Struthio camelus: one gene and its partners. The protein of the gene in region 1 interacts with the protein of each later gene in a pairwise test. Links are inferred from orthologs where the notes say so. Each region holds a gene or a part of one and is shown in the gene's direction. Other genes may lie near its edges. The genes, in order: KHDRBS2, EWSR1, CIRBP and HNRNPR.

Evidence for each region.
Region 2: the proteins of KHDRBS2 (region 1) and EWSR1 interact in a two-hybrid assay, tested with the Homo sapiens proteins (2 studies listed by BioGRID and IntAct). The two-hybrid records come from large-scale screens. The link is inferred for Struthio camelus from reciprocal best matches to the Homo sapiens genes KHDRBS2 and EWSR1.
Region 3: the proteins of KHDRBS2 (region 1) and CIRBP interact in binary tests that used the Homo sapiens proteins (3 or more experiments, as listed by UniProt). The two-hybrid records come from large-scale screens. The link is inferred for Struthio camelus from reciprocal best matches to the Homo sapiens genes KHDRBS2 and CIRBP.
Region 4: the proteins of KHDRBS2 (region 1) and HNRNPR interact in binary tests that used the Homo sapiens proteins (3 or more experiments, as listed by UniProt). The link is inferred for Struthio camelus from reciprocal best matches to the Homo sapiens genes KHDRBS2 and HNRNPR.

Annotation. Positions count from the first base shown.
Region 1 is NC_090944.1:36,990,597-36,997,524, reverse strand, and holds the start of KHDRBS2 (KH domain-containing, RNA-binding, signal transduction-associated protein 2), read left to right. Parts: upstream 1-3,925; 5' UTR 3,926-3,981; coding exon 3,982-4,072; intron 4,073-6,928. UniProt on the Homo sapiens protein: RNA-binding protein that plays a role in the regulation of alternative splicing and influences mRNA splice site selection and exon inclusion. Binds both poly(A) and poly(U) homopolymers. Phosphorylation by PTK6 inhibits its RNA-binding ability.
Region 2 is NC_090958.1:5,247,541-5,255,545, reverse strand, and holds the start of EWSR1 (RNA-binding protein EWS), read left to right. Parts: upstream 1-4,994; 5' UTR 4,995-5,093; coding exon 5,094-5,106; intron 5,107-8,005. Other genes in the region: EMID1 (EMI domain-containing protein 1), read left to right, coding at 615-699, 3,371-3,495. UniProt on the Homo sapiens protein: Binds to ssRNA containing the consensus sequence 5'-AGGUAA-3'. Might normally function as a transcriptional repressor. EWS-fusion-proteins (EFPS) may play a role in the tumorigenic process.
Region 3 is NC_090967.1:7,052,242-7,059,615, reverse strand, and holds the start of CIRBP (cold-inducible RNA-binding protein), read left to right. Parts: upstream 1-4,361; 5' UTR 4,362-4,983; intron 4,984-5,744; 5' UTR 5,745-5,750; coding exon 5,751-5,853; intron 5,854-5,935; coding exon 5,936-6,042; intron 6,043-6,267; coding exon 6,268-6,406; intron 6,407-6,492; coding exon 6,493-6,577; intron 6,578-6,702; coding exon 6,703-6,770; intron 6,771-7,192; coding exon 7,193-7,209; 3' UTR 7,210-7,374. UniProt on the Homo sapiens protein: Cold-inducible mRNA binding protein that plays a protective role in the genotoxic stress response by stabilizing transcripts of genes involved in cell survival. Acts as a translational activator.
Region 4 is NC_090964.1:2,706,117-2,713,794, reverse strand, and holds the start of HNRNPR (heterogeneous nuclear ribonucleoprotein R), read left to right. Parts: upstream 1-4,663; 5' UTR 4,664-4,697; coding exon 4,698-4,772; intron 4,773-7,678. UniProt on the Homo sapiens protein: Component of ribonucleosomes, which are complexes of at least 20 other different heterogeneous nuclear ribonucleoproteins (hnRNP). hnRNP play an important role in processing of precursor mRNA in the nucleus.

The DNA of each region.
Region 1 (6,928 bases):
TTTAAGACTATCAGTGTTTATTCAGTTGTATTAGTGGAGAGATCCAAAATCTACTGATATCAGGATCTTTCCACTGAATTCAATCAGCTGTGAGTTGGACCAAATGCCTGAGTCTTTTGCTGTGCAAAGTGGCTAGTCAGAAGGTGATCTACAGTGATTGGTGTATTTGCTGAAGTACATTTCCTTTCTGGGTTGTTCAGCCAAGTGTTCTCATTATGGAAATAAGTTTTGCATTGACAACTTGTGTCCAGGTATGCGTCCAGGTGTCCTGTTATCAGATTGTAAAGCAGCATGAACTCCAAGGACTAGGGTTCACAGATGAGGGGGCAGTGGCCGGATAGAAGCCAGGTACAGCCATTGTCCCAAGAAGGAATTAAACATACTAAAGAAAAGGAGGGGGAGACATACTTATGCATGTATTGCTGCTTCCTTATTCCTTATATTGTGAATAATAACTCTGGTTTAAGGATAGGATATAGTTAACACAGCTGATGGTAGAAACTCCCTAGGCTGTTTACGCTGATGTGTAGTCAATTTAGGAGCTCAGATAATCTCTATCCCTAGCTAAAAATGGGTGAAACAGAGAAGAAATTTGAAAGCAAATGGGATTTCTGAAATTGAAAACTCCTGACTAATCTTGTCTCTGGTGTATGAAGGCCTAGGTGTAATCACACACATAAAGGTGTGATCTCATCTAATTCATCTAACTTATTACAGTGACTAATGTGCTGACTCAGAAATGTAACTGTCATTGTGCTCACACTTGTCATTCATTCTACTGCATATTCTCAAAGGATTTCCTAGTTTTTAAAATATATATTTGGAAAGTTTGGAGATTTTCTACAGCAGTATGCTTCCACTGCCTTTTGACTTCAGTGCTACATGATAGCACAAGGGAGATACATTCAGCTGGTAGTGGCAAAAAGACACAATGATTGCTACCTGTCTATCTTCAAATAAGCTATAATCTAGTATGCTGTGATCTGCTTCATTATCAGACTTAATAATAAAATATAGTACGGATAAACTTTAATTTGGCTTGACACTTTAAACTAAAAAGTTATAAAATGTGCCTTTGGTTTTTAGTAGCTATGAAAAAGAATTCAATCTCCAACTAGCAATGAAGCCATGCTTGATGTCATTAGAGGTCTATATTTCCTGTCTGACAGATTTTAATGATTTTTTTTAATGAGGTCTAAGGTAAAATTTAGAAAAGCATCTCAATGGCTTTGCAGCCTAAGTATCATTGAAAGTCAATTTAACTTTATAACTTTTGAAAATGGAACTTACAGAAAACTTGTCTCTGCCTACCTTGCTGTAAAAAGATCAGCATGCCAACCTGTTCTGTACTCCCTTGACCAGAGAAATGAGTTCAATGAATGTAGCCCTTCCCACTGCTCAATAAACATAAAGGTGTTTGAACAAGGTGCTTTCTTGTAGGTGCTTTCTACAAGCTAAGTGGGATAACTGCAACTAAACAAACTAAAGTGACACTATTCTTATATTCTTATATTCTTATTCTTATAGCACCCCAGATGGAAAGCCCATCAAACAACTTCTTTCCTATACTTGAGAACATAGCATGCCCTGAAGGCTAGAAGACCAGCCTTGCTTCGGAGTAAGGATGGCTTAAATTAGTTTTGAAGATGTACTCAGAGAATCAGGAGCAAGACCTCTCAGAGAATCAGGAGCAAGAGCTGTCACCGATCTTTTCTCTTTTTGAAGTGAGGGGGACCAGCCTGAATTATTCTGAGGAGTAGAGCTGCAGAAGTATGGTATGAAGACACAGGCGATCTCTCTCTCAGGTAAGATAGTCCTGAGTTCTGTCGCAAACAATATGGCATTTCTTGCTAAATTGTGAGCCATGTGAAGAAGAACTGCCCCTAGTTCTATGTTTGTCTTTGTTTTATTTGTTTTTTTTTAAATGAGGACTTACACCTTTACCGCCACATCCAATATGTAACAAAAGCTGATTGCCAATTAAAGCAGTCATTTCCATAATCAGAGTCTTATTATCTACTTCTGAAGTGTTTCACATGTCTTGAAATCAAACTGTTTTCCTGCTCCTTGCCTTTCTCAGTGGGGAACATAGTTCTCATACCTTCTCTTTCTTTGTTGTTCTTTCTTTTTCTTTCTTTCTTTCTCTTCTTTCTCTTTCTTTCTTTCTCTCTTTCTTTCTTTTCCTTTCTTTTTCTTTCTTTCTTTCTTTTTCTCTTTTTTCTTTCTTCCTTTCTTTCTAGAAATAGGAATAGTAGCACTTCAGTCTTCTACATCTATGCTATATGTATTTTTATAAATACATGGAGGCCCTCAATTACTCTACATACTGAGTGGAAATTGAGTAATGGCTGTCTGCATATATCTCAGGTTTTTGAAGACATCACAGACCATTTTCTATGGCTGTTTAACACCTTTCTGTCCTGATTTTTACCTTTGCTTATTCCTTCATCCCCTGAAAAAAGTACAAATAAAAATCCAAACACTATAGAAAAAAATCCCTTAAGAGGAACAGTAGTAGGTGATTTGAAAGTGTATTATGGCAGTAACTATTTATTTCATTAGAAAAACATATTAAGTTAAAAGCAGAAAGAATCTCACCTTGAGGTTGAGCATAGCACACATAGTATTGTATGATGGACAGTTTGTTCTTGAGGCCCCACAAATGACGTTTTAACAGCCTTAAGATGAGCTAAACATCTTTTGTTTACTCTCAGAATCAAAACATGTTAGTAAATTGTCTGTTGGGGGAAAATCCTGAATAAATATAAGCTAGAGTAAACGTATATTTAAAGCTAAATTCTAATTAAAACAAAATCAGTTTTATTTACTCCAGCTGTAGACACTTCAATTGCGTAGCCGCTGTAATTCCTCAGGTGCGGGTGCAGGAGCTTCAGTTCGCTGCGCCAGGAGGCGCAAGGCTGCCTGCCCACGCGAGACCGCCCCCGCCCGCGGGCCCCTCCTGCGCGGACAGGTCACGGCCGGGCCCGAGCAGCCGCGCCGCGCCGAGCCGCCGGGGCCCCGAGCGACCCGCCGCCGCCGAGGCGCCGCTGCTCCACGGCCGCCGCCCCGCCCCGCGGCCGGCGGCGGCTTCAGCACCGCGGACAGCGCCCGGCCGCCGGGGCCCGCGGGCGGGGCAGCCGCGCGGAGCCCACGGGCACGGACAAATGGGCTTACACACGCTCCTGAGCGCACGCACGCACACACATATACGGGCACACACGCAGTCACAGCGCGCACAGCCACAGCCACGCACCGAAACACGGAGCGGCAGCCACACACACACACATACACACACGCGCGCGCGCGCTGCGACGCACGGACAGGAGCGACGCAGACACGCAGTCACAGCGCACAGGCAGACACAACACACGCGTGCACAAAGAAGCACTCAGAGACAGAGCCACAGGCGCACGCTCACACACGGAGACACGGCACACGCACCCCCCCCAACACACCAGTCACACACGTTCGCGCGCGCGCGCGGTCCTCTCCCCCCGCCCCCGCCCCCGCCCCAGACCGCTCCGCGCCCCGCCCACCGCCCGGCGACAGCCAATGGCGCGGCGAAGTTTCCGCGTGGCCCCCGCCCTGCCGGGCACAGCCACCAATAGGAGCCGGGGGACTGAGCGTGCCTGGCCCCGCCTCCCTACTTAGGGCGGCCGGTGGGAGCGGGTGGCTCACTGGGCGGGGGGGGCAGAGGCGCGCGGCGGCACACGCTGGGACACGCGCGCCCACACACGCGCCCCCCGCGTGGAGCGAAGGCGGCGGGGGGTGGGAGGAGGAGGAGGAGGAGGAGGCGGTGCCGCCGCCGCCGCGGGCAGCCGCGCCGTCGGGGCGGCGGCGGGCGCGGCGCACCTGAGAGCGGCGGGGCGCCGGGTCACAGCGAGGCGGCCGGAGGCGCGGAGCGAGCCGGCCCGCCCGCCCAGCCCAGCCCAGCCCAGCCCAGCCCGCCCCGCAGCGCCCGGCCGCCGCGGCCCCGAGGCGATGGAGCAGGAGAAATATCTGCCCGAGCTGATGGCGGAGAAGGACAGCCTGGATCCCTCCTTTGTTCACGCCATGCGCCTCCTGGCCGACGGTAAGGCTCCGCGCCCGGCCCCGACCCCGGCCCCGGCAGCGGGGCGGTGCGGCGGGGCCGGGCCGGGCGGGAAGCGCGGCGGCGGCGGCGGGCGGCGGGCTCGGCGTCCCCCCCCCCCCCCCCCAACGTCCCCCCCAGCCTCGGTCCGCGGAGCGGAGGCCACCGGCGCTGCCGGCCGCAGGTGCGGAGCGCGTCGGGCGGCGGCCGCTGGGGCCGGGTTTAACCGCGGGCGCGCCAGCTCCCGCCCTGGCGGGCTGCTGCGGCCGCTCGCCGGGAAATGCGCCTTTTACTTCTTTGGGGAAGGGGAAGGTCTCTCCTCGAGGCTTGTCCGTAGAAGGCGGATGGCCGCGCTGGTCCCACGGGCCGTTGCAGTTGGTTGGGCTCGGGGAGCATGCTGCCATGGCCCCTGGTTTTATTTACACACAGGCAGACGCTAGTTTCTCGTTGAACTCATTACCTCTTCTTTCCCGTGCTTAATAATAAGGCTTATATGATAACGCTGTTACGCCTTCAATGCAGCACTGTTTTCCTTGACTCCGCTCTGTCAGGCGTTCATTGGCTGGGGCTTATCAGTTTCATGCCACAAGTTCATTCAGGACGTGATGAATTACTCCTGGACTCGTGGGGCGATCTAGAATAAAACACTCATAACATCTCGTTCTTCATTATCATAACGTAGCTCTGTTTTCCTCATTTTGGTTGAGGCCTTTTTTTTTTTTTTTTTGACTGGAGAGTCTTTTAAAAGTTTATAATTTAGCCTATTTTTTCCCCCATACCCGCTCAACGTGGTTACTGAGCGCAGGCCTTGCAGTACGGCGCTTCCAGTTGCACAGCACCGTAATCTGTGACGGCCCCCTCCCTCTGTTCCTTCGGAGGTGTATATTGTTCGTTTCTAAAGTCACTGTTAAATTTGGATCCAAATATCAAAACGAAGTAGTAAAGAGTGCATAAATCAAGAGAGGCTATCAAACCCTTAAATGAGACTGAGGCAAAGAAATGGATGATTAGGCCCTTGAGAGAGTCGCAAATTCCAATTATCTCACATTCAAAGAGGAGTGAATAATTTCCAAAGTTCTGTAACATCTTAAGGAAAAATTACAACCACTTAAAACTTACTATGCTAGCAGTACTTGTCTTTCCCTAAGCCAGCAGTCTTTCTGTTGTCTTTCTTTCTTACACGTTTTCTTGATTGTGAATAAAGGTACTGAGTCTAGGTTTTATTAAAGTGCCCCTGTTTGATAGTTTGGAAGTTCAGTATGAATAATGACACATTTAGTATACCTTTGTAATTGGTCTCCTGCTGCTGAAGAGATAACCACGCTACTTCCCATAGTTGTTTTTCTATTAAGGACTTTATATGTACCATATGTTTATTTCGGAAAGGGGCATATTTTCTGCACCTTGCAATTTGATCTTTTCCCAGAAGGGGGAGGTATCTACTGAGAGTGTGTGTGTGTGAAAGAAAGAAAATGCATGCAGGAAGTAATTCAAAGTGTGTGAAGTAAAGTTTTTAAAAAAAAAAAAAAAAGGGGGGGGGATGACAGAGTTTCTGAGTTTCAAGTTCATGCGAAAATTGCATTTTGAGTGGCTTGTGAGACTGCATAAGTGATTAGCATTCTCCTTCGTTCTTAGTATAACTAGGACTAAGTATGTGAATTTTTAAAAAAGATGAAGGTGAATTGTCTGTGGAAGCTGTAGGGAATGCTAATGTCAGATTCACACCAGATACCTGGCATTATCCTTCAAAACACCATCTGTCAAGCTTTCTAGAGATTCATTTTAGAGTCTAACATATGATAACTATTGAAACAGTTTCATCAAAGTAAGAGTCAAACTAGTTAAGGAAACAGGAGTGAATGCACTGATTGCTCCTGGGTATAAGCAGAAGGAAAAATGTGTACAACAGGCGGAAATTTTTTGGGATGCCAGAAGAACATGGAGCAGTAGCGCAAGGGCAGTAGCGTAATCTCTGTAGTAATATGTTTCTAGGCTATGCTGGCTTTAAAGCAATGCTTCCAGATTATGGATTTCTGTTCTTTGAAAAATAATATATGAATAGCTGCATACATACCAATAGTAGTCAGGTGTTATTTTTGTGGTGTGCTAAGCTTTTTTGATTGCCAGTAGATTTAGTATAAAATGTGTAAGTGCTGGTTGCAGATTTTTTGCTTCAGAGTGGAGAGCCTCCAGCTCTGACTTGAAAGTGCTGTGATTTTTCATGTCACTTGCTAGGAGCTGAGGTTGAGAAGAGACATGCTCCTGTTGGAAACCGTAGAAGGGCACACAAGAGAGCAGCATTACAGAAATACAGTTTCAGTTCATGACACCTGGGTTTACTTGGATTGACTTGTAAAAATATTTCTGTTTCTTTTAAACTTTAATATTAGACTCTGCCGTTTTCCTTCCCACAAATATGTATTTTATGTTTAGACGTGCCTAACTTATTAAGCTGTGAAGATGTGGGTGACACATGGAAGCTACAAACCACTGGACCTTTCTGATAATTTGTAACTTCTTTTATATCAGCATTATTTTAATAAGCCAGAGTGTCAGCTACTTGTCGCAAACAATATGTCGGCAATTTTCCATGTATGCGTGGCTTTGAAATAGCTTACATTGTATATTATTAAAACCAATTGCCTGTGTTTTCTAGTAGAAACATAAAGGAAAAAGACCCTTTGGAAAAAGAGCCAGCCAAAGTAAAAGCATCTTTCCCTATTGAAATATCAACACTACTTGGGTAATGAGGTAGCTAATTTCGCTCTGTTTAATGACAGTACAATTGACCTCAGATTTTCAGCTGGCGTTCTGAAGGCAACGAGAATCAGGTCTTTTACTTTAATCGCGAGTTAAGCC
Region 2 (8,005 bases), on another chromosome or scaffold:
ATCCCCGGGACCCCGATGGTGGCATGGGGGTCCCCGCTGTGCCTGGTACCCCTGTTGCATCCCCGGGACCCCGATGGTGGCATGGGGGTCCCTGCAGTGCCTGGTACCCACGTCGCATTCCTGGGACCCTGATGGCACGGCCGGTCGCAGCTGCCCCCACCAGGGTGTCTGTGCCCACAGGCAGGATGGAGGTGGCACTGCCAGCCTGGCCCTGCCTGGCACCCGCTGTCCCCTCCAGCTGCGTGCGGGACCATGGGGTGCGGAGCCGGGCTGGCCCCGGGGGAGGGACCCCCAGGACAGGTGCTGGGGGAACAGGATTGGGCTCAGAGCCCTTGGGGCAGGGGACGAGGTGCCTCCGGCCGCGCTGTCCCCAGGGGCACCCCGGCATCGTGCTGCGGTGAGTCGGGGGGGCCGGCTCCGAACAAGCCCCCCTGCGGCATGGGTGCAGGGTCCGGCCGCGTGCCCGGGGAGGGCTCAGCGGCCGGGTGGGCTCGAAGCCACGGCGGGGGGTGGGGGGGCCTTGCACTGCAGGGGCAGGACCCCCATGCCCCGAAGCACCCATGGGTGGCTGCTCCGCACCCCCTCAACGGCCCCTTCTGTCTCTTCCTCCGCAGGGGGAGGGTTTACACCAGCTCCGCGAGGCGCTGAAGATTTTAGCGGAGAGGGTTTTAATCTTGGAAACAATGATTGGGCTCTACGGTGAGTAGGGGCAGCAGAGGAGCGAGCCCGCACCGGGGTCCCCGCTGCCGGCTGCTCCCGGGCGGGCAGTCGCCGCCGTCCCCCTGCCCCGTCCCCGGCAGCAGGTCGCAGGTGGAGCGCGCCAGGCCCTGATGACATCGCATCGGCGCGCTGATGTCACGGGGCTGCGGGGAGGCGTCCCTCAGCCCTGTGCTCCCCTCCCCTTCTCCGTGGGGGGGAACCGGCACAACGGAGCGTCTCCCCCCTCCGCAGCATATGACATCATCACACGTGTGACATCATCACACGTGTTAGGACATCACATCACGGCACTGGGACCCGCTCGTAGGGCGAGGATACCTTCTGGTGGCAGAGGGCCTCCGGGCACCCCGGGGTCCCTCCCCTGCACCGCCGGGTGCAGAGATGCCCGTGACAGTCTCCGTGTTGGGGACAAGCTGGTAGCACCAGGGCAGGTTGGGGACACGTCCCCCCCGCGTGTCTGGCACTGCACAGGGGTCAGCGTATGATGGGGCAGGAGAGCGGGGGGAGCCCCAGCGCCCACTGGGGCTGCAAGGTGCTGGGCACCCATTGAGCTCCCGTGTCCCCACGAGCCCAGGCGGGGACGGCCACGTCCTGTGCCCGCTGCCCTGGGTTGGGGCACCACCAAGGAGCCACCGCCGGGGACATCGGGGCAGCTTCAGCTGCCCCAGGGTCAGAGCAAGGGAGCCCCTGGCACCCCTGGGATCAGGGGAGCCCCCTGCACCCCCCTGGGACCACGGGAGCACCTAGCACTCCTGGCACCAGGGGACCCGCAGCACCTGCTGGCACCAGGGGATTCCTGGCACCCCCCTGCCTGGGAGCACCCCGGCGAGCCCCCGGCACCCTCCCAGCACCCACCTGGGAGACCTGGCACCCCCCGACCCACGCACCAGCACCCCTCTCAGCCCCTGAGGGCTGCTGCTGCTGTGCCCGCTGCCGGCCCGGCTGCGCCCGTGCTGTGCCGCCCGCGCCCGCTGCTGCGCCTGCGGGGCGAACGCGCTCTCTGCTCTGCTCTCTCACTCTCCACCAGGCCAGTAGCTTCCAAACCCTCCTGCGGCAGCAGGCCCGGCTGGAGATCCTGGCTAGAAGGGTCACCTTGCTGGAAGCCATCATCTGGCCAGGTAACAGCGCCGCTTTCCGTCTCCCCTCCTCGCATGAGCTGGGCTCGCCGCGTCCCCCTGGGAGCTTGGGCTGCCTGGCGCAAGGGAGGCCGGAGCCCCTCGGACCACGTCCCTGGAGCTCACCGGGAGTAAGGGAGCCTCCAGAGCCCCTCTCGGAGCAAGTGAGACCATGGAGACCTTCAATCCAAGAGGCCAAGTGAGACCCTGGAGCTTCCCAAGGACTAAGGGAGGCCCTGGAGCTCCTCTCAAAACAAGGGTGACCCTGGAGACCTCCTGGATCAAGGGAGACCTTGGAGCTCCCCAAGGACTAAAGGAGGCCCTGGAGCTCCTCTTGAACGAAGGAAGACCAGGGGGACCCTCTCAGATCAAGGGAGACCTTGGAGCCCCTTGGACCAAGGGAGCCCTTGGAGAATCTCTTGAACCAAGTGAGACCATGGAGACCTCTTGGATCGAGGGAGACCCTGGAGCTCCCCGAGGACCAAGGGAACCTCTGGAGCCCCTCTCAAACCAAAGGGGACCAGGGGGACCCTCTTGGATTGAAGGAGACCCCAGAGACTCCCCTGGGACCAGGGGAGCCCCCGGTGCCCGGCCCCGCTCGGTGCCAGGGTGCCAGCTGTGTGCTGGCGGGTGCCCCCCTCTGCCTTTCTCTTCTCTCCGCCTCCACTTTCCAGCTCTGCTTTTTTGCGGGGAGGGGGCTCTTTTCTTTCCGCATGCCAGGCGGGGGGTGCCAGCCGGGTGCCAGGCAGGGGTGCCAGGCAGGGGTGCCAGCTGGGCATGGCAGCTACCATGAGCCGGGTCCCAAAACGACTCTCCTTGTCCCCCCCGCCACCCACCTGCTGGGCCGGTCACCCCGGAGCGAAGCCCACCGCGGGCGCGGGGCTCTGGTGCCAGGCGGGCTGGTGGCCGTCCCGTGTCCCTGTGAGCGGGGCTGTGCCTGGCCTGGGGGCAGCTCACCCGCCGGGGGGCCGGGGACATCGCCGGCGGGGGCACCGCGGGGCGCCTGGCACGCGCCCGCAGCGCCGTGGGGGACAAAGCCAGCCCCGGCGTCGTGTGCCCCCTGCCCTGCTCCGTGCGTGGGGACTCGCTCGTCCCCAGCGCGGTGCCAGGCTGACACGGAGGGCGGCCGGGCTCCTGGTGCTCAGCACCCGCGAGGCGATGAGGAGAAACCCCGGCGAGCTCGGCGGCCCCCATCCAGCCCCCTGGACCACGGGCCTGGCCCGCGGTGGCAGGCGATGGGCCGGGGGGGGACCAGAGACCCGGGGCGATGGGCACAGGGGGACCAGAGACCCGGGGCGATGGGCACAGCTGCCCTGGCATCCCATCTCACCCCAGCACGGCCCAAAAACCTCACGATGGGGAGGGGGTCCAGCCGACCCCCTGGCCCGGCCGTCGTGGCTGCGCGGCCGGTGGCGGGGGGGGGCGGGGGGGTGCGACAGAGCCCGTTCCCGGGGTGCCAGGGGGTCCCGCGGGGGGTCAGGGCTTGCACCTGCGCCGGACCGCCGCCTCACGCCTCTCTCCTCTCTCCTCCGCAGAACCGGAGCCTGGCTCGGGCAGCGGCCCCGGGGGTCCTGCGGCGCCCGGCTCCCCCCGCCACAAGCGCAGCCGCCCGCCCACCTACCGCATCGTGGCCCGCGAGCCCCCCGCTGGCGCCCAGTGACGGCCCCCAGCGACGGCCCCCAGCGACGGCGGGCCCGTACCGGCAGGGAGGCGTCGGGCTCCGGCGGGCGCCCTGCAGCCCGCCCCGTCTCGTCCTGCGCCCCGCCGCCCGGCAGGGCGTTTTGGTGCTAGCCGGCGGGACGCTGCCGCCCCGCGGTCCCCCTCCCCGGCCCGTGTCCCCGTGCCCCCCGCTGCCCCCCCGCGCGCTTCAGCCCAGCCGCTTTGGGAACGACCCGCGTCGCCAGGTCATTAAACGCCTCCCTGAAGCCCGTGTCCGGCGCAGTCCGTGCGCGTGTCCCCCCCCGGGGGCCGGCCCCCCCCCGGGAAGAGCTGAACACCGGGCACCCCCCGGCTGAGAGCCCCCGGTACCAGCCTCAAAACCCCCCCGGTACCGGCCTCAAAACCCCCCCGGTACCGGCCTCACAGACCCCCCTGGTACCGGCCTCGCCGCCCCCCGGGTACCAGCCTCACAGTCCCCCCCGGTACCGGCCTCACTGCCCCCCCCAGTACCGGCCTCGCCGCCCCCCCTGGTACCAGCCTCACAGACCCCCCTGGTACCGGCCTCGCCACCCCCCCCCGTACCGGCCTCGCAGCCCCCCCGGTACCGGCCTCACAGACCCCCCCCAGTACCGGCCTCACTGCCCCCCCCCCAGTACCGGCCTCGCCGCCCCCCCCCGGTACCAGCCTCACAGACCCCCCTGGTACCGGCCTCGCTGCCCCCCCAGTACCTGCCGGTGCAGCCACATGGCCACAGCCGCCGGGGGCAGGGGGTGGCCGCGGCCCCCATCGGGGCGCCCGCCCCGGTACCGGCACCCCGGGGTGCCCCCGGCTCCCGCCACACTCGTGGGGGAGGCAATGGGTGGGGGTTGCGTGCCCCAGGGGCAGGCGGGGGGGAAGGGGGGTCGGGGGGCCCCACGGGGGGGCATCCTGCCCACGCGTGGCCCCAGGCCTAGCCTGAGCCGGGCCCCCTTCCCCACTGCGTGACGTTGTGCCTGATCTGTGGCCTCAAAGGATGACGTCACGCCGTGCGACAGGTGACCTCACGCGCAATGCCACGCGGCAGCTGCTCCGCCTGTGGCAGCTGCGCCGTGACATCCCCCCGCCACCCCCCAACACCGCGCGTGACGCCGCGCGATGACGCCACGCCGCGGCCTCGCTTGCTGGCGCCCGCTACGTGACGTCAGGCGGTGGTGACGCCTGGCCGCCGCGTGACGTCAGGCGGCGGCGCCGGCAGCGCCGCGGCCCCGCGCTGCGCCCCGCGGCCGAGGCGCCTCTTGCGCGACGCTCCCCAGCCGCGGCGGGCCGAACCACTGCTCCGGCCGGGAGGGGGGGCGCGCGGGGCAGCGCGAGGACAGCGGCGTCCCCAGCGGCGCCCGCCGGCCCGGAGGCCGGTACCGGCTTTCGGCCACACCGAGACAGAGCCCGGATCCCGGCGGCGGGGCAGCTGCCCCTCGCCGCGGCGGCCGCCGGGCCGCTCCCCCCCTCCCCGCGCGGGCGCCTTGGTGCGGCCCGCGGTGGGAGGGGCGGCGCCTGCGCGGCGCGGGGCGGCGGCGGCTGCAGCAGCCGGACGTTGGGAGCGCCGAGGAGGAAGGCGAGAAAATGGCGTCGACGGGTGAGCGGAACCGGGCCGGGCCGCGGGGCCTCCCCCTTCCCCCGCCCCGCCGCGAGCCCGAGCCGCGCCGTTCCCGGGCCGCCGCCGCCTCCGCGCCGGGGCGGCCCCGCCGGGCAGCGGCGCGTGTCCGGGCCCGCCGGCTCCCGCCGCCGCTTCGGTGCCGTTGAGGCGCGTTTGAGCGCTCGGCGCGCCGGGGACACAATGGCGGCGCCGGCGCGGTCCCGCCCGGCGGAGCTGGGGGCCGCCGCGGCCTGAGCCGCGCGCTCGGGCCCGGGGGTCGCGGCGGGCGGGGCGAGCCCGGCCTTGAGTTCAACCCCGCGGCCGAGGCCTGGCCGGGCTCGCCCCGCGCCGCCGGCCCCTTCGGTTCGGTTCGGTTGGCCGCGGCCGGGCCGAGCTTCCCCCCAGCAGCCCGTGGCGCGCAGGGGTCCTCGCTGCTGTCAGTGGTGACTCATCAGAAAGCCGTAACTCTCCGGGGCTTCGCTCTGATGGGAATACTTTGATTTTTTTTTTTTGGTCAGTTTATTTTAAAAAAAAAAAAAAAGCTTATGATAGCGTATTGCTAGAGCTTCCACCCTAGAAAAAGCGCAGTAAGATGCTTTGGCTCACGCCCTTCCAAAAAATCGCTCTCTTTATTGAAGGTTTCCCCCATGCCTTCGTTTTTTTGGGTTTTTTTTTCCCTAAGGGCTATTCAAGGCTGTTTGTTGGTGCCACTGTGATTCCTTTGAAGGAAATCAGTGAAGCGTTGTGGAGGAAAACATAACTTTCACGTGAGGGCCGCAAATGGGTGTAAATAGGTCAGCATTCAGACTTATCAACGGTGGCGGCATCATGTTTAATGTAGAGTTAAAGCCCGATGCAGAAGATTGGATCGTCCCACAGGAGAAAATGTCATATACCAAGGAGTGTAAAGGAGAATGACTAATATCGCTTTGGAGAGCAGGGGAAAAAAGTTACTAAAGAAACATGTGCCGTAGCATTGTCAAAATGGGGTTTAAAAATACAGCTGTCTTTCCGCTTAATAAATGGAAATGTTCATTTGTGGGAGCTACTATTTTAAGGCTGCGCTATTGTGCTCCTGAGCCTCGTGAAATATAAGTATGAGGATTAATTTCCCATTGGAAATAAGGGCTCGGAGATATTTTTAAAAAATTAACCATAATATTTTTTTTGAACGCTTTGCACCAATCTGTGTTCTAGCAAATTGGAAGAGAAGAAGACAAATTGCAAATTAAACTTACTCACCTGGATTTAAATCTAGCTAAGGGAGGAATGGAGTATCTCGGTATGCCTGCGTGAAGGCTGTAAAAGGGGATATGAGTGTGCGAAGGAGGCTTTGACTGGCGACTGTGTGCATAGCTGAAGATCCAAGCCCGGGGTGGTGGTAGGTTGCCGGTGGTCAGTGGGCCAGGGGTGAAGGCTGGGGAGATGGGTGCCCGGCAGTCAGCCCTGCTGGAGGGGATGAAGCTGGAGCTATAGATGTGAACAGCCTGAAGGATGACAGCAGCCCAGAGTGGAGCAGGAAATGGGAATTCAATGAGAGCTAGGGAGGTTTTGACGGATGGGGGAGCGAAGAGGAGGTGAGGTTGGGAAAAGAGGGGGGAGTGAGGACGTTGTACAGCAAGATGCAGGAAAGAATGGAGGAGCGCTGAGAGATAGGAGGAGGCAGTGAGAGATGGAAGAAGCTCAACTGGATGAGGGGGAATTGGTGATGGTATTTAATGCTCCACATTTTGCGGAGCTGGTAGTCACGCGTAGACTGAAAAAAGAGGCAAGGCCCTGAGTTTAGCAAGCTGGACTTTTAAAATCTTAAACCTGACAACATATAAGGAAAGCGGGAGTAGTGCTGAAACAGTCTAACAACGTATGTGGCGCATTTCAGGATTTTGGAAGCCTTTGAGTAGCAGCTGAGCATCTTTTTATTGTGTTTTGACCAGTGTGCAGTGGTTTACATCTGTCAAAAACTACTACCAAAGTTATGGCATCTCCTTTCTTAATACGTTTCCATCAACACATGCCCTAGAGCCTGAGCTCCAGCCTCAATAGAGAGAAGTGAAAGGGAGGAAAAGCCGTATGTTCACGCAGAAGGGTTAGGAAGAAGAGTGGAAAGCTGTATTATGGACGAGTCTGTGGCCTCAAGAAACGGGAACCTTTGGTGCATGAAGGTGTATGACAGCAGAAAACTATTCAAAATGTTTTCTCGTGCTTTGTCAACTTCAGTTGCAAACAGCTGGAGTCATAATGGGATTAAGGCACTCTCTATAATCTGAGGATAACTGATGTCTGTAGAGTCTTCAGCCAGATTCCTTAAATTCATGCGCTTCAGGTTTTTACCAAAGATTAGCTTACCCTAAGTACTATGGCAGCAGAAACACCTAAACCTCTTTCTGTTTGGCTCTGTATAAGAAAAGGTATAATAGCATTTTGTTTCTGTCTGCTTCCAGTTCAGTCAAGTGCAGTGGCCCAAGTGGCAAATTGGAAGTCGGAACTCTTTCCTGATCTCCCTACTCTGCTGATGGGCCTCTTCTGATTCTGGAAGAGTTTGAATTTGTCTGGGAAGGTTTGGGCTAAGCGATGAACTCGTCGCTACCGTTTGCTCTAGACGTTTGGGAGGAAACTGAAATGCTTTGCAATATGAGGGAAAGCGTACATTTAGGAGCTGTAATCATTTCAAATATAGCCTTGTAATTGCCATGCTGGATGCATTTTCCATCCCTTGCAGCTAACTGGTTAAGTGTAGATTTTTTTGCTTGCGTTTTCTGAATTTCAGTTTTCCTCTGAATCAGGCTGTTGCCATAGATCAGGGCTTTGGGGAAGGAATTATTGCCAGCTGCCTGTCTTGAACTTTGATATGGGGAGAGTGTTAGAACTTTCCAGCAATTTGTTTTTGTCCTTGAAAGTT
Region 3 (7,374 bases), on another chromosome or scaffold:
TTGTCCCCTTTCCAGTCCTGCCGTCGCAGGGCTTGTGCGAGTCGGAGCGCGGAGAAGCAGGCGGTGATACCATCAGAGCCACAGCCAGGCGTTTTGGTGCCCGGTCGGCCTCTGCCAGCCGTCCCCGTGCTCCTCCTCGCCCCCTTTCTTCCCCGCGTCCCTCCTGGGAGCGCCTTTCCCCAGCCCTCGCCCGAGGCCGGCGTCAGCAGCTCCCGGAGGAATTCGGGTCTGTTCTCTCCGGTTTGGAAAGCTGATCACAGCGGCGCCTGGGGCAGACGCTTCTCCCGCTCTGCCCCTGGCTCTGGGCGCAGGCTACGGGAGCAGGCGGGCTGCGCAGCAAGTTTGTGCTTGGTTGCTGTGTGGCTCTGGGCAGATGCCAAACTGCTCTATCCCGTGGAAAATGGCTGTGATTACAGGGTGAGGCCAGCCTTAAAGGACTGGAGAAAGGCCCCTACAAATACAGGTAATAAATGTTGCCTAGCGGAGGTCCCTCGAAGAAATCCAGCTGTTTGCATCCATCCTGCAAAGGTCCCTTGGAGGCCAGGGGGGGTGCTGAGTACTAGATTTGGAAACCGTGACTGAGACAAGGACGTTACAGTAGGCTTTTTAGCACTCCTCTATCGATGCTCCCTGCATGTGGCACTAAAAGCTGCTGTGCTGCTGGAAGGAGACTCTTTTAGGACGTAAGTACTATCATTTTATATGCTACAATAATCTCTGTCACCGGAGGTTTTAAAGAAATGGGTGAGACAAATATCTGCCAGGAATGGGGTTGCTTGAGCCAACAGACAAGACTGGTCCCTGAGATCCCTCCAGCTTCTTGTGATTTATGATTTAACAGTTATCAGACACTGAAGTCCACAGTCCAGAGGAGCGCAGCATTGTGCTAAGAGCCACATGAACACATGGAGAGATGGCCTCTGCTTCGGAGAGCCTACAGGTCAAGGCAGCTATTTGCAGCTGCGGAAGACGCAACAGCACTTCCACCGCATCAGGTCACTTTAACTACAGTTCTTTCTTGTCGGGCGACCGAAAGGTGATTGAAAATGTGCCTCAGCTGGATAAAACAAATGAACTCATGCTCTGTCCTGAAATTTGTGCAGGGGCTACTTGAGCATCTAACCCACAGGCAGAAACAGCGCAAAAGTTAACGCTGAGCACCGTTTTCTTGCTTTACCTTGTCGAGAGTTTTGGGATCCTCAGGTCAGGAGTTGTGCAAATGTCAGTCATTGCTACAGAAAGGTTACCTCTGGTGACATGTATCACGTCTGTTATGCTTCATTGCCTAATTACTGCCATAACAACACGTGAAATCAGCCGGGACAGTTATTGACTGGCATACACTGCCCGCGCTGGTTTCAGCTGTAGTTTTGCGGTGCTTTTCTGGTACGCCAAGAGATTTTCCTGTGCTGAATCCCTCCCGGAGCCCATTGTGCCGGGGACAAACTCATGACAGTGCCCAACAGGTGAAAGCTCTGGCCACGTGGCCGCTGCAGCCCACTTGTTTACCAGCTAAAGTGACACACGCGGCTTCTAATGCCCTGGATCAGACAGGGAGGAATAAGCAGAACTGGAGCACGTGAAGCCTCCTGAGAGCACCAGAACTGGGACAAGCGAGTGGAGGCAGCACAGGAGATCTTGATTTGATCTGTTTCTCACCTTGTTTAATAGTGTAACTTCACTGGTTTCAAAGGAAAAGCATGAATGCACCCAAGTGAGACCGGAATCAGGTCTTCGGCTTCTGGGGCCCAATCCAGCTGCTGCAGAAGAGAGCTGGGATCTTTCCATTTACTGTTAGAGGAGCCAAATCAGGCCCTGAGGGCCAATGCTCAGCGGTGAACAGAGCTACGCGTCTCTGCACAAGCCTTTGGTCCTGGTAGGACCCAAATTCCATTGAAACTGTACATAAAAGATTAACTGTACTATTTTAAAAACACTTAACACGCACCGGCTTTGCAGGAGAAAAAAGTACGATTAAAAATAACCGTGTTTGTCCCTTGACGTTTGCGGTACTGACGGCCTTAGGAATATGCAAGCAGCTACAGCGCTGCCTCCTCCCCTTCAGCATCCCCAGGGCAGCCGTGCCGTGTCCTACCGCCACTCACGCCGCTCCCTGTCTCCGCTTGCAAAATGGCTCCATGCGTCAAGGTCACTTTACCCGCCCTCATCGTGAACCAGAAATGCTTATGTTAATACGTCCCTAATTTAATCAAAATGCCATGCTGGGGATTCAAGCTCAGGGCTGAATTGTCTTTTTCAAGGGCAAAAATTGACTTGCGATCTCAGGTGGCACACAAGTCCTCTCTCCTTGCCTCTCCCGTCCTTTGACATGACTGGTGCACCGGTGGACCACACAGTGTGATGCAATATTAGGTAGAATTAAAAAATAACCCAGGCTTATTCAACATTTTAAACGCTGAGTTTAAAATACCTACTTCCAATCAGGAAACAAAATTTTTTTTTTTTGGTAAAAAAATATTGCAATATCTTATCCTACCTTCACAGCTTCATCTTGTTTTTAATTATTGCTCTAATATTTTGAGTGCTGAACCTTTTATTTTCCTTTTACTGCAAAGCATCTCAGACACACTTAAGTACCAATAGATTATATATAACATATATAATAATTTGTATTATTAATGCTGTTAATTTCTTCTCTGGACTGGAAAATTAGTTCATTTTTTCATAGTTTTACCAGTAAGAAGGTAATAATAGTAATAGATTGGTGCCTCATCAATATATATATTTTTAATGCGCTTACTAGTACTTGAGCTGTAGCCAGTAATGCACGGTGGTGGAGCATGCTGTTGTACCCTGCTGGTGCTGTATGTTTGGCGAAACGACCAACGCTTTAGTACCATAACATAAAATCCGCAATGTTCCATTATGAAAGCTGTGCTGAGGAGTAATGAAACAGCTATTTTTGAGTGTACAGCAGTACAGATTAGGGCAGAGTGCAATACTGAGATTCTTCTGTATTTCATAATTACTATACCTGCTTGTGTACAAAACAAACAATCTTTTCCCTGTAGATCGCAAAACGGGTAACATCAAATCAGGGAGGAAAAGTCCAATTTCCTTACTCTGAGAGGCAGGGAAGGAGAGTACTCCCTGCTTTCACATAACAATAGTGGGCAGAAGACTCCTTTGCATTTCACTATGGCTCTTTTCACTCTTCCTGTCTCGGCACTCAGTTAGGAAATCAATCGCATTATTTGGGGGGGGGGAAAAAAACCCAGCCCTGACTTAAATACCGTATGCTATTTAAACAGCGGTTCCGACCAAGACTGCTCTGAGCTCTGGGACCAGAGAGGCGATGGGAGGGAGGCAGGGGTGCGCGTATGTGCGCACCCTCTTCTCCTGGTGCAAACTGCAAACAAAATTACCGACTCCTTTGCAGTACAATTCCCCACCTCACTTCACAGATCCAGTTTACACGGCGCTGATCCTGCTGCCGAGTAGAGGGGTAGGTGACGTGGCCTCCAGGACCCGTCCTAGCCCTGTTTTCTTCCAGCTCTTGTCCGTATGCCGCCGTTTTCCTCCTGCGTCTTTTCCTCTCGGCCGTTTTTAAATAGCATCCTACATCATGGCATAGTTGAGCCAAGACTGTAGCTTTTCTAGGAAAGACTGGGGAATTGTGTTTTCCTGTGCGTTTTAAAGCAATGCAGTCTCTTGAAGAAACGTGTACCTGTGTCGGACAGCTTCTTGTTTGAACTGGGAAGTTTTTAATGCTAGAGATATACTTACCTTATAAAAATCCCAGGGTGGGCTTTTAGACGTTTCAATGGAAAATGGGCTGAGCAGAATCCTTTCTTTTTTTTTCCCCTCCCCTTCACAAAACCATTTATGCTTGGGAACGGGTGATGGGGCGGCTTTTAAAATTAGTTGTGCCATGCTCTCAGGAGTACGCGCGGGGGGTGTCGAGTCACCAGGACCGCGCTTCAGAGGAGGAGGCTGCTTTGCTGTAGCCGTTATTCACCCTGCACACGCCGCGAGAGCCGGCCGGGGAAGGTGAAGTCGCGGCGTAACCCTTGGGCAGGACGCGGAGGGCGGCCGCCCGCCGAGGGGACGGACGGCGCGCCTGGGGGTGACGAGGACGCGGCGGCCCCTTCCTCTGCCGCCTGCCCGAGGGGCCTCCGCTCTCCAGAGAGCGGCTCGGGGAGGGGGGCGCTTCGCCCCGGCCTCCGAGCGTCGGCCTGGTCGCTCTGCTACGACGGATCCTGCCGTCATCCCACAGAGCCAACAGGCCGCCATGCCTGCGCGGGGTGGGGGTGGGGGGGCAGGCTGCCCTCCCTCAGCAAAGGGAACACGAGAGGGGCCCTGAGGTGGGGGCACACTGGGAAAGCCGAGCCACCGCCGGTGAGCACCGCCCGGTGCGGGCTGCGCCCCGCCGGGAGGCAGCGCAGGCTGCAGCGCTCGCCGCCCAAGATGGCGGCCGCCCCCTCAGGCGGCCCCTTTGTCTGCAGCAGCGGCGGCCGCCGCATTGCTGAGAAGGGCGCGAAACTGGGGCAGCGCGGCCACGCCCCCTCCCCGTGCGGGCCGCGAGGGGGTGTGGCGGAGGGGGAAATGCGACGGGGGCGCCCTCCAGCCAATCAGCTGCCTCCACTTCGTTTCTTCTCACAGGGGCTCTGCTGGCCAACGTTCTCCGAGCTCCCAACCAATCAGAGCCGCCCTCCACGCCCCACCCCCACGTGGGAGTAAGGGAAGGAGGGGGAATGCAGCGTTTTTGTTTTCACTCCCTCCTCCCCTCTCCCCCAGTCGGGCCTCATGAATATTAATAAGCTCCAGGCCAATCAGGTGGCGGAGCGGCGGCAGCGCTTTGGTCTCGTCACTCGCCCCGCCTTGCGGTGGGGCAGTATTTGCATATTCATAAGAGGGGCGGGGCCGAAAGCGGGGGTTTATAAGCCGCTGCCCCGCCAGCCTCAGCGTACATCGCGCTGAGACTTTGAAGTGCTGTGTGGACCCTTCAGCTCCAGAATACTGGTAAGGAGCCTGCTGGGGTGCTCGGGCGGCGGCCGGGCCGGGCTGGGCTGGGGAGGCTTGGAGCGCCTTAGTCAAGGGGAACGCGTCCGAGAAGCAGCGGGTTTGCTACCGGGGGGGAGCCTGGGGCGGGGGGCGCCTGTCCCGCGGCCCCGCTGTCTTTCGAGGTTGTGTAGTGAGCCTAGCGAAGGCGTTGTGGTTGCTCGCTGCGTGTGTGCGCTGTGTTGGGGGGGGGAAACCAGGGGGAGGGGTGAAATGCGCCTTCGGAAACAAAATGGCGACTCGCCTCGACGGTGCAAAATGGCGGCGGGTGGGAGGAGGGGCGTCGCAACGCGCCTGCGCCAAATGGGCGGAGCGCGGAGGGAGGAGCGGCGTCTCCGGGGGCGGGGAGGGGGGCCTGGTGGCCGGGAGGCTGCGCCTGTGCCCCGCGGGGCGCGCATGCGCGGGGCGGGGCGGGCGGCTGCAGGCAGGGCCGGAGCCCGCCGTGCCGGGCGAGCCCTCTGCGCGCCTCCGGGGAGGTGGCTTGGCCCCGGGTGAGGGCGGATGTGGTGGGTAGCTGTGCTCTCCTTCGTAACCTGGATGTGGCTCGGTTTTTCCAAGAGAAAGCACTTGGTCCTCCGTTCGGGTGCTCCTTTGTGGTTTGCAGCGGTGGCTCGCTGAACCGAATGAGCGTGCGTTGTTTAAGAATGCTAGGCTGCTGATCCAATGTTTTGGCCCTTGCGGAAATATTTCTTGGTTTAACGGTGGGTACGTTGACTTTACAGGACAAAATGGCATCCGATGAGGGGAAGCTCTTTGTTGGCGGTCTGAGTTTTGACACCAATGAGCAGTCATTGGAACAAGTCTTCTCTAAATATGGACAGATCTCTGAAGGTAAGATCATCATAATTAGCTGTGATGTTTTCCATGAATTTTCTAGATTTCCTGGGTGCTCATGTTCTTTTTTTCTTTGTAGTCGTTGTGGTGAAAGACAGAGAGACTCAAAGATCCAGAGGTTTTGGCTTTGTTACTTTTGAAAACATAGACGATGCTAAAGATGCAATGATGGCTATGAACGGAAAGGTAAGGAGACTTTGGAATTTCTTTCCTGATCTCTCAAGGAATAAGAGGAGCCAGCAAAGCGTGTTCCTGTTCAGTGAAATGATAGAAACTCAGAGGGAACACATACATAGCGCTTGAAAACTAATTTACTTCTGTAGTGGGCTATACCTTAGTTGTAACGCTGAACGAAAGGCTTGTTGTTCAACATTGAAATACCAAGTTGGTTTATTTTTCTTTCGACTTTAGTCTGTAGATGGACGTCAGATCAGAGTTGATCAGGCTGGAAAATCATCAGAGAACAGATCTCGTGGATACAGAGGGGGGTCTTCTGGGGGCAGAGGCTTTTTCCGTGGAGGCAGAGGTCGGGGCCGTGGCTTCTCTAGAGGTGAGCGTATGTAAAAGATCAGTACTTATTGATAGGATAATGGTAGCTCTCAGCATGCTAAAATAAACTCCTTGCATCTGTTGAAGGAGGTGGAGACAGAGGCTATGGCGGAAGCAGGTTTGATTCCAGAAGTGGAGGATATAATGGCTCCAGAGACTACTATAATAGCAGGTAAACCCACCGCAAATAGGGGTTCTTTTGCAAAGCGCTTGGAAGTCCGCTGCCTGTTTGACACATGTCAAGAGGCTCCACGAACAGATGAACAAATATAATGCATGTGAATGTATTTTTAACAGCAGGAGTCAAGGTGGTTACGGCGACAGGTCTTCAGGAGGATCCTACAGAGACAGCTACGACAGTTACGGTAAGTCTTAGTTCAAATGGGAATGACGAGTATGTTGCTGTAGGAACTCTCTAAACCTTCTCACCCTGTACTGAAGTCTGGAAATACTGTAAGGCTCAGTTGGACTGTACCACTATTTTTGTTCTTGCCCGTAAGAACCAATCTGTCAAGCCTCGGACGTGGTTGTGCCATTTAAATTTCTAATTTGTAATGCATGTGTAGGAGTTGCTTGGATCTAAGGCAAAGCAAGTTTTTAACTACATTCCTCAAGCTTGAGACTAAGACAAAACTCAGATGCCCTAACAAACTTTAATCAAGGGTGGGGGAGTTCTCTTAAGACATAGCGAACTAGCATTAGCTTCTGAAATAATGCAAGGGAGTAAAATGCTGGAACTTGTCTATGCTTCAGTGCCTTTACAATTGTGCCTGCTTCTTGTCCTCAGCTACACACAACGAGTAAAAATCCTTCCTGACTCAAGATCGTCCTTCCAATGGCTGTATTTATAAAGATTTTTGGAGCTTCGCTGAAATCGTTATTGTGTAGTACATCTACTTGTATTTTCACTTTTGTAGTATTATCAGTTCTAATCTTGTCAAACACAGCCTGACAGCTTCTGATATAAGA
Region 4 (7,678 bases), on another chromosome or scaffold:
TGTAATCAAAAAAAAAAAAAGCTAATGAGGATATGAAACCAATTAATGAGGAGTCAGAACAGGATGCAGAAGACAAATGGGATGCACCCTCAAGAAGATAAGGGACTGTGGGGAAACAAGGACATGGCACCCAGCGTGGCATATAGGCCAGGACCTGTCAGAAGAAGAATGACACCAATCAGAAGGAAAGACGCACCAACCAGGAGGAGAGAGACCACTGACTCAGTAAAAAAAAAGATTGGAGGAGACCTTCACTGGCAGGCAGGGAAATAAGACTTCAAAGGGTATAATTACCCCAGCACGTCTTTGTTTGAGGTCCCTCTCCGGAGGCATCCAGCTCAAGCTGTTACTATGCTGTACTATCATTTAAATAAATAATTTTGCTGCTATACGTGTGAGAGACTCTGCTCCTTGGAAACCTAGGGTTGAACTGTTTCCACAACAGCAGAAAAGGAGATACCAGCTATGGACCGTGGCTGCTTCAGTGCTTGTAGTTTGTTGCAGACTAAAACATCGCCTCCTGTTTGTATTGGCACTGGGGCTGTATGAATCAACTATCTCTAAGATGGTTATAGGTCTCTGCTGCCCTGTTAAGGGGTGATTTCCTGGTAGCAGTGAATAAAAGCACAAGTAGGGGACTAAACATTTATCATTTGATAGGGGAGGATTGCAAGGAGGATATAGAACCAGGCCTGGAGAAATTCCTGTCTTCCAAGTTAGTGGAGTTCAGAACAGGAGTTCTGGAATCCAGTGTGACAGTGGAGGACAGGGGGCAGTTGTCTTTTAGAAACCATTACTCCCTAATTGTCAACTATTTTGAGGCAACTCGGGTGCTGAGCGCCAGCACTTGGAGCTGATATTTGAGATGTGTTAAGACTGTGAAGATGATGCTATGCACAAGCTTCTTCCCAAGATGCTTAATTTGGGCTGCATCCTGCACAATCTGATGGAAATTGCTAAGACTCCTTGGCTGTGGGGCAGGGGCAAAAGCAACGAGAGAGAGAGAGAGAGAGAGAGAGAGTCTGAAACCTTGCCTCTAAATTGATAGGACCTGCTCAATCTGCTTGCATTGACTTGTATTACCATGAAGGAATGAATTCTAGTAAATAAAATTGCCTCCCTTTGATGTATCCAAGGTCTTCAACAAGCTGTTTTAGTGCAAGGTCCGCAGGTTACCCATTCTGGTTTCTTTGGGCTGTTTTGTCACTCTAGCCCTCCCCACTCCAGAACAGACAGGGGAAGGAGGTATGACAGAGCAAATGCTTATATTTAAAATGTATTATTTCCCTAAAATCAAAGACACTGGCTCTGTGCAAGGCAAAATAAACTTATGTGCAGAAATTAACAGGGTAATACTAGCAGCATGGCATCCCTAGGCAGCCATTTTCCTGAGCATTTCCCTGCTTTAAGGAGTGGAACTTGTTGGGGGCTTCCTCATTGATAAATAAGGACTGTAGAATGTCCGTGAGGCAGCAAGTTTTGTTGCCTGTCTTTCCAGATTGATGCAAGCCAGCTCCCTGCAGCAGAGATTAACCACCTTCTTGGTTCTAAGGTGGTCTTTGTTCTGCCTTGCTTTGGCCCAGGAATAGTTCAGGTCTTGCGTGCATCTGTTTGTTTTCAACCACACAGAGCTGTAAATAGCATAATTCCAGGAATTTCTAGCAATATCTCTTTGAAATTACTCTTTGTTCCAGACCATCTAGGACCTCCTTTCAGGCCCAGCTTGCTGGCTGGCACTGAACTCTACTACCTGCAGGCCATAGCTTGTTCCTGTCTAGAGATGTTCAGTGTTTAGATCTTTTTGGTCGAGGCTATTGTATGGAGCACGAGACCAAAAAGCTGAACAGCTGCCCAAGCACATGCAGATGCTAGCGGGGGTAATAGATATACTGGAGTGATGTACCAGAACCCAGTCCAAAAGCCAAGGGACTAGAGATATCTACAGCCAGCATGAAGCTCTAGTACTTCTATACTAGATGGCAATACAACAGCAGATGCTCTCTTCTCATGTCCAGAAGCCTCTAACAGTCAAGCATCCAGAAGACCCCCCCCCCCCAAAAAAAAAAAAAAAAAAGAAACCACCAAGGAAAGAACCTCCATGGGTGAAAATGGAGAGAAGGACCATCTTCAACTGGGGGAAGAGACTGGTATGATTCATCATAGGTTGATAACCACAAACATACCAGCAGTTGTGGCTTCATGTCAGAATTAGGTCAGATCCATTACAGCAGCATGCATCACATCGTAGATGATTTTCATGCTGTTTTTGCTGTTCATGCTGTCAAACCATGTTTAATTACAAATTCTATCCTATGAACACCAATTTATGGCTGAAATTAATAATCTCCTAGCAGGAAAATAGCATGCTAAAGTCTTGTTCTGGCAAAGACATGGCAGGCTTAACACAATATCAATATGAATTCTGATTATGAAATGAGAACTACCCAAAAACCCCTACCCCACCCCAAAGCCCATAGCCTGCTAATGCTCACAACTACCTGCATACAATTAATTACCCTTGGAAAACACCCATGCAGAAATGATGAAAAAGTGCCAAATTAAAAGCCTTAAAGGCATTTCTGACAATGACTACCTTAGAAATCTTCCTGATTCTTCCTGAATCTACCAAGATTTGGTAGTGCTTAGCAACTGAAATTACTTTACTAAAAGTGTACCTACCTCAATATAAATTTTGCTCTAGTCTCATCATGTTCAGTTGTCAGCTAACAGTAGGTATGTTAGTACTCTGTATTTCACTCCTGGATGCGACATCATAAGATATTTTGAAGAGCTTTGCAGAATGTTTATTAAGCACCACTGAAGTGACAGATGTGCATGTAAACATCCCTCAATTTCTCTCAAATTTTGTGCTGGGAGAACTCCTTAAACCTATTATTCTTGACTCCCAAACAGTCGGATCAACTGCTGCAGTGAACTTGTATGGATGAAGCAATGAATAATGTTCCCTTGCATCTTTATGCCACACTAGACCCTACCTTCAACAAAGAAAAGCTGTCACTGTTGCCAAATTTGGAGATAGAATTCATAGAGCCAGTACAGGTTTCACAAGAGAACAAGCATGTCTGCCATGAGACAGGTTCAACAAGATAGACTGCTTACCTCTGATATCTGTATGAGTTCACTTCTGGCTTCTGGCTCAAAAAAAGCTTCTTTCATTTACAGCAGGTAACATGTACAGTTTTTATCTATGTTCCATTTAAGGGCGATGGAAATATGCACACTTAATACATTGCACAGATACATGCAGTCTTCTGAAGAGTGTCACTTTGTCATTAAACTGTTGGAAGAACCTTCTGAAAGCATGAGAGGCTACTGTTTTTCTTTACTTACCAGACTCAAGAGTGATGGTTCACCTGGCCATCTATGTACATAGATGCTCTGGATTCACTTTCACACAATATTCTGGGACTCACCTTGACCTCAAAGCACAAAACAGTTATTCTCATGTCATGCAACTGTAGGCTGAGGAAATGGAAGTCAGCACAACACTTTGTGGCCTAGGAAAAACAACATCACAGCCAAGAAGCTGACTTCCCACAGAACTGTGTATTTAATGCATCAGGTCTACACCCATCAAATAGACTGATCAAGCAGACAGACCAGGTAAGCAGGCAAGTTACATATAATCACAGATGAATTATCTAGAAACCAGCATACCTCACACAGATATCCTTTCAGGGAAGGCTCTGAACCAGGATTCTTGCTGCTACACACCTTTCCCTCTTTACTCCGGACCTGGAAGCCAAATCTACTAACGGCCTCAGATTAACTTACCAGTAATATCAATGCAGGCTGGCTCTCATCTCCAGTAAAGCTTACCAGTCTTTCCTAGCATGGCCAGTGGCTTCACCCGGCAACAAAAAAAAAACCCTACAACTGACATATAGTGCTGTGCTAAACCTCATGCTATCTTAGCTAGCCAGCAGGACTTTACTGGATAGACCTACATGGCCAAGGAAAAACTACTGGAGCAGCAGGATACGGACAGCAAATTCTTCAAGACAGAAAAGCAGCATTTGCACAGAAAGCATAATTTAACAAGAAGCAGCCTCCAGGAGAGGCAATACTAGGGCCCTGGTCCCTCATGCATGAGGCAGGCCTCAATCAGAGCCGTTGGGCTGAGGCAGCAATCCCTCCCGCAGGCAGGGCCCGGGCCGCGCTGTGAATTCCTCACACGCGGCCCCCGGGACACCCACCGGCCTCAGGGCTAGGATTAACCCCGACGGGCAACGCCTTCAGCCGGTGGCTGTCTGCCCCAGGGCCCCAGTCACCACCCGGGATGAGCCACCTCGGGCAGCACCCAGCCGCAGGCCCTGGCGCGCAGGCGACGCCCGGCCGCCGGGGGCGGGGCCCGGCCGCAGGCGCGCGAGGGCCCAGGGCGGGACGCCCCCCGCGCACCCGTCCCGCTCCCTTTGTTCGCAAGGCTACGGGCGGCGCTGCCCCTTTAAATCCCCCCAGCTCGGTCCCTGCCGGCGCGCCGGGCTGAAAGCGCGGCGCGATTGGCTATAGAGCCTCCCTCTCATTGGCATCTGGGAATAGCTGCGCCACCCGCCTCCCGCTTCTCATAGGCGCTGCCGGCTGCCTGTCTGAAGTGCGAGTCCCTGAGTGGGTGAAGCAGCGGTCCCTGGAAACAGTTCCGGGAAACCCCGCGTGTTGCCGGGGTCGCGTCGCCGTCCATGAGGAGAAGGAGGAGCGCGCGCCATTTGCCGTCGCTGCTTGGGCCCGAGCTGCGCCGCGCAGGCCCCGCTCCGGTTAGTCTCCGGGGGGTGCCGATGGTGTCGGGGGGCCGCCTCGGTCGGGGGAGGAGGAGCGGGCTCGCGGGCAGGCCCTGCGGCGGGGTGGCAGGCGCGGGCTCCGCCTAGGCCCGGCGTTGACGGAGGCGGGCCTGGGGCGCCCGCGCCGCGTAGGCGAAGCGGGACTGCGGCGCCGCTGGTGCCCGGGCACGGTGTCTGCTGCGCAGGCCCCGGCGGAGCGGGCGGGTGGACCGCGCGCGGGAGCGGGTGCTGGGGAGCGGCCGGGGGCGGGCCCTATGGCCTCGGGGGGGGGAGGACGGCCCGGCGGCCCGGCGCGGGCCCTGCATGGGGAGGGCAGCGCGGCCGGAGGCCGCCCTGGCTCCGCCCGGCCTTGCGGATTAGCCTTGCATGTGGCTGGGGAGGAAGCGTGGCGGGAGCTGTTCTTGCGGTACTGCTAACGATGGCTGCCGTGTGTCCCTCTGCGCTGGGAGTTAAGCCCTTTCTCGATCCCCTCTTGGGCAGTGTGGAAAAACAGTATTTTAACAGCTCAGACGCCCTGATAGGCAGCTGTCGTGGTTACTGTCCGATCTGTGCCGCATTATGCGTGTGGGGAATTGGAAAAGACTTTGACAGAAAACGCATCGCTGTTGCCAGCGCTATGAATAACTCTCTGAAATCTTGTAGAGCGCATTTTGATACTGCTGGCTGTAGGGAGGGAGAACTGCACTGCATCTTCTCGCAGCTCTCAGGTTGGCACTTAGTATTTTGTTTGAGACAGTAACACTTGCTAAATGCTCTGAAGGAAGCATTGTTGCAAGGACATTGGTTTTCTTAAGTGTTCTTTACCAAAAGATCTTTACCAAACCTTAAACGAAGCCTTTTTTAAATCCCCCTCCTTTTTTTTTTTTTTTTTTTCACGTGGTTCTAGTTACTGGATCTTAGCGACCTTGTTACCTATTAATTCTTGGACGTGGCTAATCATATACTTGAGCTGTACTGGACTAAGCTTTTCTTTGAGGAAAGTTGCTTGCATTCCGCCCACCCCCCAGTATCTCACTGAAGGATCCTACCAGCATGATATTTTTGGGCTGCAAAGGGAGTTAATGTATATGAAGTTGTTGGGTTTTTTTTTTTTTGTTTAAGATTATACTTTGTATAGCACTGAATTATTTTATGTGTCTTCTAAAAGTAAAGACCATCTAACCAGAGTTTTACAGTGTAATTTCACTATGTAAACTGTAATGTTTGCAAACTAGCAGAGGCTAGATGACATTTTTCTATCTTAGAAACTATATTTTTCCATGAGTGTTTAATATCCTTACCTCTCAGTTTTTTATCTAGATGTGATCCCTATTGGGATAATATTTGAGCCTCCCACTAATACTCAATAGTTTTGTCGAAAGAAGCAATGCTCCCTGCTCTCATAGACAAAGATCTGCAAAACTTTCTAAGGACAAGTTCATCAGAATAATGCTCACTTTTGCTGAAGTGTTGTTTTGAACTAGAATGTTATGGACGTTGTTCTGTACAACCCAGACAATCAGGTGAGCCATAAAAGGCCAGCTCCAGGTAGAAATTAGGGTACGTAGATTTTTATAGCTCAGGTTAGCAAAACGTGGTAGGTACTGAATCAGTCAGTGCTGTATTTTAATGGCACTGATGGCTTTTGTGCACATTGCTAACCTGTTGTGGTAGAGTCATCTCTTGATGGAGGGACTGCTTATACTTGCATAGGTAATGAAGCGTAGTTTCTGTGGGGACTGTGCTAGTCTTTTGGTTAGGATAATGATGGAGGTTCTCAGGTTTTTTTTTTTTTTTTTTTTTTCATTCCATGGCATTATGGAATGGGAAAGACAAAACTGTGCTGGAGGGGTGAGGGTGCTAACTACTCATCGTTGTAAAGGTAGTCTGTCAATGAGATGCTGGTAAGAAAACTTTGCTAATGTGTAAAGGCCATTACTTCTAAAGATGTGATAACTTCAAAACAAGTCTTCTTATATGACATACTAAAATGTTCATTAGTATGATATAATTAAACTACTAAAATACGCTTTCCGTGATTGAATAAGCTATAGTTGAAACGAAATGGCTATAATCCTCGCACAAAGAAATGTTAAGGGATATGCTAGTCACTTTTGTGAACAAGTGAGGTTTTAATAAACTCCCAGTTGAGTTTCCTAATCTAAGATCCTTTCTTCCCCTTGCTCATAAATTTCTTCGTGTTTTGACAGAAACCTTAAGTGCAAGACTGATGATATTTTTCTGGGGACTAAATTTGTTTTCTTGAGGTTCATTTAAAAAAAAAAAATCAGACTCAGTCTAACATCCCCCCCCTCCCCCAATTCTATTTTTAATGTAGTCTAATTATTGTTTTTTCTCTTTAGACCCTGCAGGCTATGTATTCAATAGGAGGATTAGTAACATAAGCAACTTGAAATGGCTTTGGTGCAGAGTTTTTATGTATGACTTATGCTTCCTGTCCACCTTTGCTAAACAAGTACAGTTTAGTTCCTTTGCAAAATCAAAGTTAAACAGTAGAAGGCTGAGAACCGTATTGTTGGATAATCACTGCAAAGTTGGTTATAGTAGTTTAAAATATTATTGTCCTTCTGCCAGAAGTTTCCATTTCTGCTCATTTAAGCTGTTACTGAACATGTTTTGAATTAACTAGACTGAATTTATAATTAATTGGATGGAAGTATGCTCAGCTAGTCTGAGGGTGGCAGCCTCTAGAGGGATGGTATAAAAAATAGGAGATAATAACACTATGGCGGTTTCATCAATGATTATCTGTTAAGGGCTGAGATCAAGTTTCTGTTTTAATATGCCAAATGCTATCATGGTCAGGTGTATATTAATTCATTTTTTCTTGGTGGAAAAATACTATTTGAACCATTTGAGTTGTTTAAGCATGGGGGAGGGGG